Linked DNA regions of Stegostoma tigrinum. The protein of the gene in region 1 interacts with the protein of each later gene in a pairwise test. Links are inferred from orthologs where the notes say so. Each region holds a gene or a part of one and is shown in the gene's direction. Other genes may lie near its edges.

Region 1 (3,752 bases):
TAACAAAAGTGTACTTCAGCTAACTGCTTTGTGGATTGAGCTAGTTTCTTACTAAAGTCTCATTCATTCCTTTGCAGCCTTAAAGTATTTTCTAGATTCTTTACTTAGTACAGCGTTCAGGATTATTTAGCTGAAGAGCCTTTTAAAAAAAATCAAAAATAAAATCAATTGGAAGCTACAAGATAAAAAGGCATTTCTAAAGAAAACACTTGAAAAATTGCCAAGTCTTTATGACTGTTGCATATATAATACATAAATTCAATGTACATATTCATTTTCCAATAAAACTAAATAGATTAAAATTTGAAACTTGTTTTTGAGCCTTTTACACAATCATATTGTCAGTAAACTTATCTTTGAAACAAACTTTAATTGCAGGTGTATGGAATTAAAGAAATTTTTCAGCTATGGATTCTTGTGGTTTCTAATAGCATTTTCTGTTCTAGCATATCCTAGCTATGTTAGAAGCAATGATGATAACAACCATAAAAATCTATTCCTCCAACTAAAGACATTATCCATAGCTATGAGGCAGTTTTATATTTTTTGATATTTTTGCAAGATAATGAATTGAAAGTGTAAAGTGTAGCATATTGATTAGCCTTTTAGCCATACAATAAAAACATTGTTCTTACTTTTCTTCATGTTAATGCATTTCATTTGAATTAAGTTGAAAACGAATCAGACATTATAAACTTTAATGAAGCTTCAGAACTGAAGGCTACATGCCTGTGACCTAACTGGTATGGTGAGCCTATTACTACTTAAAGTAGCTATTGCTGTGGTCAATGGTTTGTTATTGATGCTGCCTCTCTTCCTATGCAAATCAGCAGGCTAAGGTGTAGATTGATTTTTATGTTTCTTCCTGCGTGTCAGGGTGTGGTTATTTTAGTTGGAACCTCCTTTGATTTGTAGTTCCTGGAAATTTATCAGCTGCTGGAGTACCTGTTTTCTCACTATTATAGTGGTCTTTTGCTGCGGTGTGCAACTGTTCTGAGGGTACTGTATATGTTGGTTGCCAGGAATGATAAAAATTACGAGGTTATGATTGTTGCTAGGGTGAGTGCTGGTTTTGTGGAATGATGGTTCCTATAGTGAGTACGAGTAGGACAATAGTTGTTAGAGGTAGACTGTTTCCTGATTGACAGGGCGATTACTTGTTTCGAGGGGGGTTGATGATTGCTTTGATAAGTGCTGGTTACTAGGTGTATGATGTTTGCTAAGCTGAATGCTGGTTGTTAAGCTTGATTCTGGTTGTTGGGATGATTGATAATTGCTAGGATGAATGCTGGTTCCTGAAGGAATGCTTAAAGGTTGCTTGGGGGAACTGCCGGTTCCTGAAGGGATGATTGAAGGTTGCCATCGTGAATGCTGGTTACGAGCAGAATTCTGGTTGCTTGGAAAAATTATGGATTCTTGGGGAGATGATGGTTGCATGAGATCTGTTTGTCAAGGTGTGTTAGTTTCTGGAATAATTATGATCCACAGCGTGTGTTGTTGCTAGGGTGTGTGGGCGTGTTCCTGGTGTATAGTGGTTGCTAGGATGATTGCAGACTGTTATAGTGCTTGCTGGTTGCTAAGGGAATGATAGTTGCTAGGGTGAGTGCTCTTTGCTGGTGATAATAATGGCTGCTATATTGAGTGCTGGTTGCAAGCATGAGTGCTCGTTGCTCGGGCAATGATATTGGTAGAGTCAATGCTGGTTGCGAGGGGAGATGATCACAGCTAAGTTGAGTGCTGGATCTTTTGGATCAGTGCTGGTTGATGGGGTGAATGATAGTTGCTAGGGTGCGCTGGTTGCCGGGCGGGTGATGGTCGCTAGGATGAGTGGTGGTTACTACGGAGAATGTTGGTTGCTAGGCTGTTTGCTAAGAAGGATCCTGGTTGCTAGGGGAATGATGGTTGCTGGGGTGTTGGTTGCTAAGGGAGATCTTGGTTGTTCGAGTTGCCATGCAGGGCTGTATATGCGTGTGTGTGTGAGAGAGAGAGAGAACAGTAGGGGGAGGGGGGTTTGGTGTGTGGTTTGAGGGGTGTGAGGGCAGGCTTTCCGGAAGTGAGTCCATCCTCCCCACTGCACCCCCTCTCCGCCCCACCTCCCCCTGTTTCCGGTTCCGGTCCCGCATCCCCAGTGTCGGAAGATGTGGGGAAGATGGCGGAGCTGCAGATGCTGCTGGAGGAGGAGATCCCCGCGGGTCGCCGAGCGCTCTTGGACAGTTACCACAACCTGGACCGGGTGGCCGAGTACTGCGAGAGCAACTACATCCAGGTGAGAGACCGGACTGGGGAGGCGAGGGACAACGGGGGCCAACTCTGATCGGCGGTCCGGAGGGGAGGTGGTTTGGGGGTGGGGGGTCCCGGGCTGGTGGCTCGGCTCCCCCTCATAACCCTCTCCCCGGCTAGGCCGAGCCGGAACCCCCCCACCCACCACCACCACCACTCTCGCCCGTACTCCCAGGTGAATGTCGTGGAGACCGGCTTTCGTATTGCCCTCGCCTCCGCCCGCTTTTCCCTTCGGTGGCGTGGGGGGAAAGAGAATGGATCGGAGTTGTCCGTTTCCCCGTTCTCTCTCTCCTCCCCCCACCCCACTCCGGCTGGGAACAGAGGGGCTTTCAGCCTCCCTGACTTTTCGACCTGTTGTACCTTCCGTAACCAGAGGGTCTCCCGAAGCTACGTTTGTCTTCAGCTTTCAATCACGGCCCCTTAACTCCGTCTTTTCTTCAGAATTCAGTATCTGGTTCACATTCTCTGGCACTTACTTTGCCTGGCATTTTTTTTAACCCCCCCCCCCCCCCCCCCCCGACTGCGGTGTGATTCTGAATCGTGTGTTCTTAACTCCATGATTCTGAGCTTGATGGAAAATCTGGCAGGCATTCTTGGCTGTTTTTAAGAATGCTGTCTTGTGGTTACGAGGGTAATTGTCCTAGTTGGCTGGGATCTGCCCTGATCTGGCTAATAAAATCCTAATTTCCATTTGTTGGAATAATTCGAGGTCGGATCTTTTGCTTTTTTTTTCCCTCCCCTCCTCACTGTTCGTCTCCACCCGCAAAAAAATCGCACGTGTACATATTCCCGAGTAAAGAATTTTGTAAAGACTAATGAACGATGGATTTGCTGTAAAATATCCACTGCATCTGTGTGGGAGGCTGTATGCCAACTACTTTCAAAGACAGTGACTGACTGGATGTCATTATCGTGCGGGTGAAGTTAGTGGGCAACTGTTGGTGACAGCAAATGCCATAGCTTGTTCTGCAGAGTGCCATTCAAACATGAACAGGAGAATGGAACCAAATACTAAACTGCCAATTCCAAGTTTGCATTGCATGAAACAGTCATGAAGGAGCTGTATGGTTTTGAATTTGGGAGAAACAATGTGTGGGGGAAATGACTTAATTACAGCTGAGGATAAGGACACTTCAAGGAAATGTTGATTATGACCTTGAACTGAGAGAGAAGAAGCAATATTGAAAATAGGATTAGAATGTTTTCATAGGTATTGATCAGCAAGTCAGTGATTGTCTCCCTGTTGAATGTTTTCAGAAGTTTGTTAAATGAATGCAAACTTTAGAAAAAAAATTGCATCTATCTTTTATAGCCTGAGTGGGTAATATGGCTGGTTCAGAAATTGAATCTGCTTTTAAATTATGCCTGTTAAATTAATTTTGGTTAGTTTGCTGTGCCTATTGTATGAAACAGTTTTATACAGTTTTTTTAATTCTCTCCCCTGAAGGTGTGTCTCCTTACTGGGTCAGGTG
Region 2 (3,752 bases), on another chromosome or scaffold:
TCATCCAAGCCATTTATGTAAATATCAGACAAGAGAGGACCCAGAACTGATCCCTGTGGAACACGGCTGGTTACATGTCTTCAGTCCAAAAAGCAACCCTCCACCAATACTTTCTGTCTTCTGCATTAAGCCAATCATGTATCCAGTTGGCAAGCTCACTCTGAATCCCATGTGACCTAACCATGCGGAAGCTTGTCAAAGGCTTCACTGAAATCCAAATAAACAATATCTATTGCTCTACCGTCATCAACCTTTTTGGTGTCTTCTTCGAATTTATTAAAATATATTGCAACCCCCCCTTGTTGATTTATATACCTTCATTTTTTACTCTATAGTGAATACAGACACAAAGTACTCATTTAAAACCTCAGCTCTATATATGTGGCCACTTCTGTCCCAACTCTTTCATTGGTTACTTTCTTCCCCCAATACATTGATAAATTGCCTTTGGAATTTCCTCAATGTGTTCTCTTTGCTTTCCTTTTTTTAAAAAGTAACTACCAACTGAAACCCCCACCTCCCTGTTGCTGTTTAGAAGCCAAAGTTGGCCAAACAGGTTGGAGCATCTACCAGCAAATTCCTTCCGACTTCCTTACCAAGGCAGTGAGAGTGGAGAGTTTTCCAGTCAGCCATGCATGATGAGGAGTGGCATCCCTTGCACTAAGCCTCTGGCAAGAGGCTAATGACTTATTCCAAGTAAAGCAAGCGACAAGAAACACTGCACTGTGTAAAAAAACTAGGATAATAACTGATCTGCTGTTCTACACGTTTCGGAGCTGAAGCAAAGTCATATGTAGTCTCAAAGGTGCACTGAGCAATTACTCGCTGAGATAAATTATGATGCGGCACATGTTACAATTGCAGAAAATATACTTTAAACACTAAGAAAAAAAACAATATTTCATCCTTCCTCTCTCCCTACCACTACACATTCCCCAGAAGGCCTCATCTTAAAATCCTTCCTACCTTCATCCTGTCAAGCCTATTCCACTGATGAGCCTTTCACACTCCCTCGCACTCTTTCCGCATTCACTCTCTCCCTACCTCCTTCTATCACTTACATCTCTCCCTCGCTGTCTCTGTCCCTTCCTCCCTCAAACTTTCTCTTTACTCACGTACTCAATGTCTTTTCTCTCTCCCTCTCCACACCCTGCCTCAAATTTTCTCTTTTTAACTCATTCGATTTCTTTCACTCCCTACACCCTCATCCTTTATACCCCTCACTTCCCTTCCTCACACTTACTATTCCAGCGAATCTTCTCGTCGCTATGGGAACCATGGACATGGCGGCTAGGTTTGATTGACAGCTCCCTGGACCAATGCACTTCCCGCCCTCGGGGCCCAATCAGCAGCGACGATGCTGGATCGAGGGGATGGGTGCACGGTTTCGCCAATCAGAGCGAGCGGGCTTGGGAGGTGTGTAGCGAGCGAAGTTGTTCGTACAGTACCTGTGAGAGAGCGGGATCATTTAGGGCCGGATATAGAGGGGGCCGAAAAGAGGAGCGAGATCGCTTCGGTATCGGCCTAGAGAGTCCATTGTCGTTTGCGCCAGTTCTTGCATAGGGGATCTTCCGTGAATCAGACCGGAACCCCAAGGTAGGTGAGACCGCAAGAACATCAAGTCGGCCCCAAGAGACAGACATCTAATCTGGAGAGGTGGGCTGGGTGAAGAGGTGGGATGGGAGAATGGGGTGAGGCAGGGTTTTCGGGTGAGGTGGATGGGGATAGAACATAGAACAGCACAGTACAGGCCCTTTGGCCCACGATGTTGTACCGTGGAATAATCCTAATCCAAAACTAAAATAACCTAACCTACATTCCCCTCAATTCACTGCTGACCATGTGGGGATGGAGTGGGGTAGGTTAGAGCAAGGAGGAGGTTAAGTCTCTTAGTTGAGTGTGCATGTAGCCTAACAGGCTGCAACCAGTGGACTGATAATTTCCATTTTTCTCTAGATTTCAAAATGAGCTTCAATTTTGGGAATCCGGCTGGAGGCGGCAGCTTCTCCTTCACTGCTCCCAAGACGGCAGGCACAGGGAGTGCGTTCTCTTTTGGCAGCACTACTGCAGCCTCCCAAGGGACCTTTAGCTTTGGAACACCCCAGCAGGTTACAACAACGGCCACCTCAGCACCCAGCACTGGTCTGTTTTCGTTCAGCACTCCCACTACTGGAGTCGCATCATCTACTGGATTCTGCCTGCCAACACAGCCAGCAACAACTGCCACTACTGGAGGCTTCTCTCTTGGGTAGGCCATAGTCTGTACCTACACATTAATGTTCACAGCCAAAGACTGGACTGGCGGTGGATGAGTGAACTGGAGGGAGTGGATGGATGTGTTGTGGAATTCAACAGAGAATGTCAATATTGGAGGGAGAAAATGTGGAGATGGGTTGACCGTAGGTCTTGGTAATTTGTGTTGTCATGACCTACTTGGATGTGGATGTTACTTGTAAGTCCAGCACTCATTTGCCCATCCCCAGTTGAACTTGAGTATATGATGTTGAGCTGTTTTGAATCTTTGCAGTCCGTGATGTGTATGGATATCCGTGGTGCTGTTAAGGAGTCAGTTCTAGGATTTTGACTCAGCAGCACTGAAGGAATGGCAATACATTTCTAAGACAGGATTCTGAGTGGCTCCGAAGGAAACCTCCAGGTGGAAGTGTTCTCATGTGCCCTTTGTTCTTCTAGGAAGTAGCGGTCACAGGTTTGGAAGGTGCTGTCAGATAACCCATTGTTGACTTACTGCGGTGCATCTTATGTACTGCTGCCACTATGTATCCGGGGGGGGTTTGTTTCTGGTTGTGTCAGTCAAGCAGGCTGTTTCTACTTGGTTGCTCTCATGCTTCTTCATTGGTGTTGGAGTTGCATACCCACAGGCAAATGGGCAGTATTCAGTCACGTTTCTGTTGCCTTGTAGATGGTGGACAGGTTTTGGGGAGTCAATAAGTGAGTTGCTTGCTGCAGAATTTGTAGCCTCTAACCTACTGTTCGAGCAACACTATGGATTGTGCGTTTCAGTTTACGGGCATTGGAAGCCCCAAAATCTGGATGGAGCTTTCAGGGATGGTGATGCCATTAGATGCCAAATGGAGATCGCTTGATTCTCACTGCAAGATGGTCAATCAAAGAAAGAGTACTAAGAGCAAGCTCTGGAGAGTTTCTCTTCTTGGTCCAGATCCAAAAAAAAACCACTTACATTTAAAAATTCAGAGATACAGTTTTTAACTGAGAAAACAATTAATTTAAAAATTACCATTTAATGTCGTTCAGTCAATTTCGTATTAAGTAACTATCTATTTAATGCCATGACCTAAAATTGGCTGAAAGTTCTGCTGGTTAGGCAAACACATGACAGATGCAAGATAATAAAATGTGAGGCTGGATGAACACAGCAGGCCAAGCAGCATCTCAGGAGCACAAAATCTGACGTTTCCGGCCGAGACCCTTCATCAGAGAGGGGGATGGGGAGAGGGAACTGGAATAAATAGGGAGAGAGGGGGAGGCGGACCGAAGATGGAGCGTAAAGAAGATAGGTGGAGAGAGTGTAGGTGGGGAGGTAGGGAGGGGATAGGTCAGTCCAGGGAAGACAGACAGGTCAAGGAGGTGGGATGAGGTTAGTAGGGAGATGGGGGTGCGGCTTGGGGTGGGAGGAAGGGATGGGTGAGAGGAAGAACCAGTTAGGGAGGCAGAGACAGGTTGGACTGGTTTTGGGATGCAGTGGGTGGGGGGGAAGGGCTGGGCTGGTTGTG
Region 3 (3,752 bases), on another chromosome or scaffold:
GGGCTGTGGAATTTCAGTCATTAAGTTCAAAGTAGACATTTACACATTTCTAGTTACTGATGATACCAAGAGAAGTCGGAATATTGCATGAATATGGCATTGAGATAGATGATCAGCCATTATCTGGAATGATGGAACAGGTTTGAGTGCCGAATGGCCTAATCCTGTTCTTGTGTGGGTATTGTCCAATCCCTAATAGATCTCGAAGATTTTAAATACTCTGGTTGTTTGGAATGGTTATAAGCCATCAGGCATGTTTCTAGTTTAAAGCAACAAAGGATTGTTTTGAGATTTGAGTAGTAGGCAAGTTCAGTGTGGTCAACTTTGACGTATCAACCTTGTAGAAATTGTGTCTTGGATGTAACCGCTATTCTGTATTTTGAAGTTGAGCATTTTAGACTTTCTGTAAACAGTATTTTAAAAGAAAATGGGTTAAAATTGTATCTTTTGTGGTCTCTAGCCCAAATAATGGCAATTGGTGCACAAAGTAAGTTGGACATCTGTGAAAGCCCTCTACGATCTTGGGTGATCATCATTATTATATACTTTAATATCTAATAATAATGTGTGTGAGTGTTACAGATTGATTATTTATTCTGTACAAGTTAAAGAACGTGTAACCAAATGATAGTATTGAATGTTATGTGGTATGTCCCACTATCTAAATAGTTTCCAATTATCTAGACTAGTAATTCTAAAGTTTTCGCTGGAGTAAATTATCATGTGCATGTTTTTTTCTGACTTGCAGAAGTTTTACACATAAGCGTAATAATGTGCTTGAATCTTAAGTCCTGACCAGGAGTAGATTTTCAGCAGGGATCAGACTGAGAGATAATTATCAAGTGGTACCAATAGGTTTTGTGTCAAATATATGTAACAGTACTCTGCAGGGTTAATACTTGAGAATGGTGTTTAATGTTTTGTGTTGTATCATTCATAGACAGAATCTGATCATAAAATATTTAAGCAGTGTAAATCTGATTGTAACTCTGCTTAAAATTGAAAAAAATGGTTTCTTTCTGTTTGTTTTACAGTTCAATACCAAATGGAAATGATGAGAAGCTTGCGTCATGTTAACATAGACCACCTCCATGTTGGCTGGTACCAGTCAACCTACTATGGCTCTTTCGTCAGTCGAGCTTTGTTGGACTCCCAGTTTAGTTACCAACACGCAATTGAAGAGTCTGTGGTCCTCATCTATGGTCAGTGACGTTTTCCTATTCATTTCTACTTCACTGTTTACCTGGCAGTGCTGCCTGGCAGTCCCTCTCAGTAAATACCAGCCCAGTGTCTGCCTCAGCCCCAGCAGCAGCTCAGTCTAGACAGGGTTTCCTTCTTTCTGTTTATTTTTCTTGCTATCAGAGCCCTGATGTGTACATTCTGGAATGCTGAAGTTGCTGCTTCAATTTTTTTTCATTCCTCTTCCCCCTTGTTGATGGCGGGTGGAACAGGACCAGATGTCTAACAAAAACTGATTGCTTGAGTCTGGCTCAGTACGTGACCTTACAGTTATGACACATTTTGCCAGATTGCACCTCTGACAGGCGCTCACAAAACGTAGACTGTTCTTAGCACAAAGATTTTCTTTTTTCTGCCCATTTAGTGGCGTTTCCTTTACTCACTAAACCAGATGTTCTGTGCAGTATCATAGCTGTAGGTAAAACATCTTTATTGCCTTCCCCAAGCTCACTATTTGCCATAGCTGGCAGGCTGTTACAAAGTTTCCAACCGAGAAGTAAATGTTACATCCTGAATATCTGTCAGAAAAAATACTAATGAGCACGATTAATCTTTGGGTAACACAAAAATTGTTTCAGTATGTTAACAATCGGATTACAGTTGAAAAGCTGTTAAAATATACTTTATTCATTGGAATTTTTTTACCATTTCCTCCTGAATTTTCCATTTTTATCAAATTTTCTGTTCTACATAATTACTTATATGTAGGAATTTGTTTTGTTTCTCTTTCTGTACAGTTTTCCATTTATTTGAAAATATTTAATAAGTTACTTCAAGCTTGGCTAATATAATTAATATGGAACTAAAACCCATGTACCTTGAAAATGGTGCTATTGAAATGTGACTAAACCCAAATCTTTTGTCAGAAGAAAACTGCATCAGTTTCATCTCTTCAGGCACAAAATGAAATTATGTTAAGTAACTAGATTTCTCTATGCATTTTGATTGACAATATTCAGATTTTTATATCTAGGTTAAAACTACACTTGGTTTGAAATCTATCCAATGCACCCAATAAGTCAGCACAGTTTGCTAGACAAGAATAGGAGCAACAATTTTCCACACCATGCATTTTGAGTAAATAGCAAGTTAAGGAAACTGGAGTTACCACACATTACTCTTCGATAACTCCCTATAGGTCGTCTGTCTGTATTTCCTATTTCGAGAATACTGCTTACTGCTGATTGGACAAAAGCCAGATTTGTCACTTGCAAGACATTTGTAGATAATACATTCACTTTGAATGTTTGGTCGTGCGAGATTCTTCGTTTTTTTTCCACATTTTCTGGACACTATGTCATCTTTAAGCATTCCCAGGTTTGTCTGATTTTAGTACGATTTAAATAGAACTTAAAGTTCTCTTTACTCTGTCCCAGCAGTGTACCTTGCACTGCCTTCGAGTACCAGTTTTCCGTTCTCCTCAAATGTAGATGTTTGAGAATGAGAATCAGGTTCTCTTTCCCAAGGTGGTCATTTTCTTCAGATGCATTTCAGCTTATAGTTCCAGAAAATGTCTGGAGTTTGACTTGACTGATCAGTAATATAAAATGTAACACCTGGATACTTGGTATTCTACCTAAGCAACTTACTCCATCAGTGATAATGGGAACTGCAGATGCTGGAGATTCCAAGATAATAAAATGTGAGGCTGGATGAACACAGCAGGCCAAGCAGCATCTCAGGAGCACAAAAGCTGACGTTTCGGGCCTAGACCCATCAGTGCATGAGTTCATATTTAGATAAAGTTTATTTTTCCAAACAAGTATAGAGGGCTCACTGTGACGAGGTGTAGGCTCCTTTTATGCAACGTTTTTATCCATTTATGAAATGTGGATGTGGTTAGCAACACTAGTTATTGTGTGATTAAGATACTCCCAAAGTGATGTTTGTATGGGGTTACAGAGAGGTGTTCCAGGATTTGGGCTCAATAACAATGAAGAAATAGTATTTATTTTTAAGTGAGTATTGCATAAGACTTGGAAGAAAATGTGGAACCGGTGATGTCACAATGCGACTGTTGCCTTTGTAGTGATAGATTTTGACAATGATGTTGATTGAAGATGTATTGGCAAGATACTGCGTCAAGATTTTGCGCTTCAGATGTGCTGGGGGTGAAGGCAATTATATTTAAGTCATGGGTGAATGCCAGTCTTTTTGGCTATCGTTGATATTTTACTAATCAGGCATGGGGACAGTATCCTATCATGTACTGACGAGCTAATTTATGTTTATTCCTTAGCTTCACCAGAATGCATTATCTGGTTGTACTTTGTTCTGTGGAAGTAGCCTTTTGCAATTCCTGTTTTTCAAGTAAGTGTTTTGGCATGTGCTGATGTTGGAAAAGCACTATATAAATGCATCTTGCCTTTTTTGTGCCTTGTTGATAATGGACATATTTTGGGGAGACAGTATTGGCAGGCCCAGTTATCTTTCTGGTTAATGGTGTAAATTAAGGTGTTGTCGGCATTCGAATGCTGGAAATACTGCTAGATGTTGTAAGGAAATCGTTCATT

The links.
Region 2: the proteins of abl interactor 2 (region 1) and nup62l interact in binary tests that used the Homo sapiens proteins (3 or more experiments, as listed by UniProt). The link is inferred for Stegostoma tigrinum from reciprocal best matches to the Homo sapiens genes ABI2 and NUP62.
Region 3: the proteins of abl interactor 2 (region 1) and eif3hb interact in a two-hybrid assay, tested with the Homo sapiens proteins (2 studies listed by BioGRID and IntAct). The link is inferred for Stegostoma tigrinum from reciprocal best matches to the Homo sapiens genes ABI2 and EIF3H.

The regions. Positions count from the first base shown.
Region 1 is NC_081360.1:20,332,220-20,335,971, reverse strand, and holds the start of abl interactor 2, read left to right. Parts: upstream 1-926; 5' UTR 927-2,149; coding exon 2,150-2,266; intron 2,267-3,752. UniProt on the Homo sapiens protein: Regulator of actin cytoskeleton dynamics underlying cell motility and adhesion. Functions as a component of the WAVE complex, which activates actin nucleating machinery Arp2/3 to drive lamellipodia formation.
Region 2 is NC_081368.1:73,416,633-73,420,384, reverse strand, and holds the start of nup62l (nucleoporin 62 like), read left to right. Parts: upstream 1-1,408; 5' UTR 1,409-1,596; intron 1,597-1,956; 5' UTR 1,957-1,964; coding exon 1,965-2,248; intron 2,249-3,752. UniProt on the Homo sapiens protein: Essential component of the nuclear pore complex. The N-terminal is probably involved in nucleocytoplasmic transport.
Region 3 is NC_081358.1:13,626,062-13,629,813, forward strand, and holds the start of eif3hb (eukaryotic translation initiation factor 3 subunit H-B), read left to right. Parts: upstream 1-1,039; 5' UTR 1,040-1,045; coding exon 1,046-1,202; intron 1,203-3,752.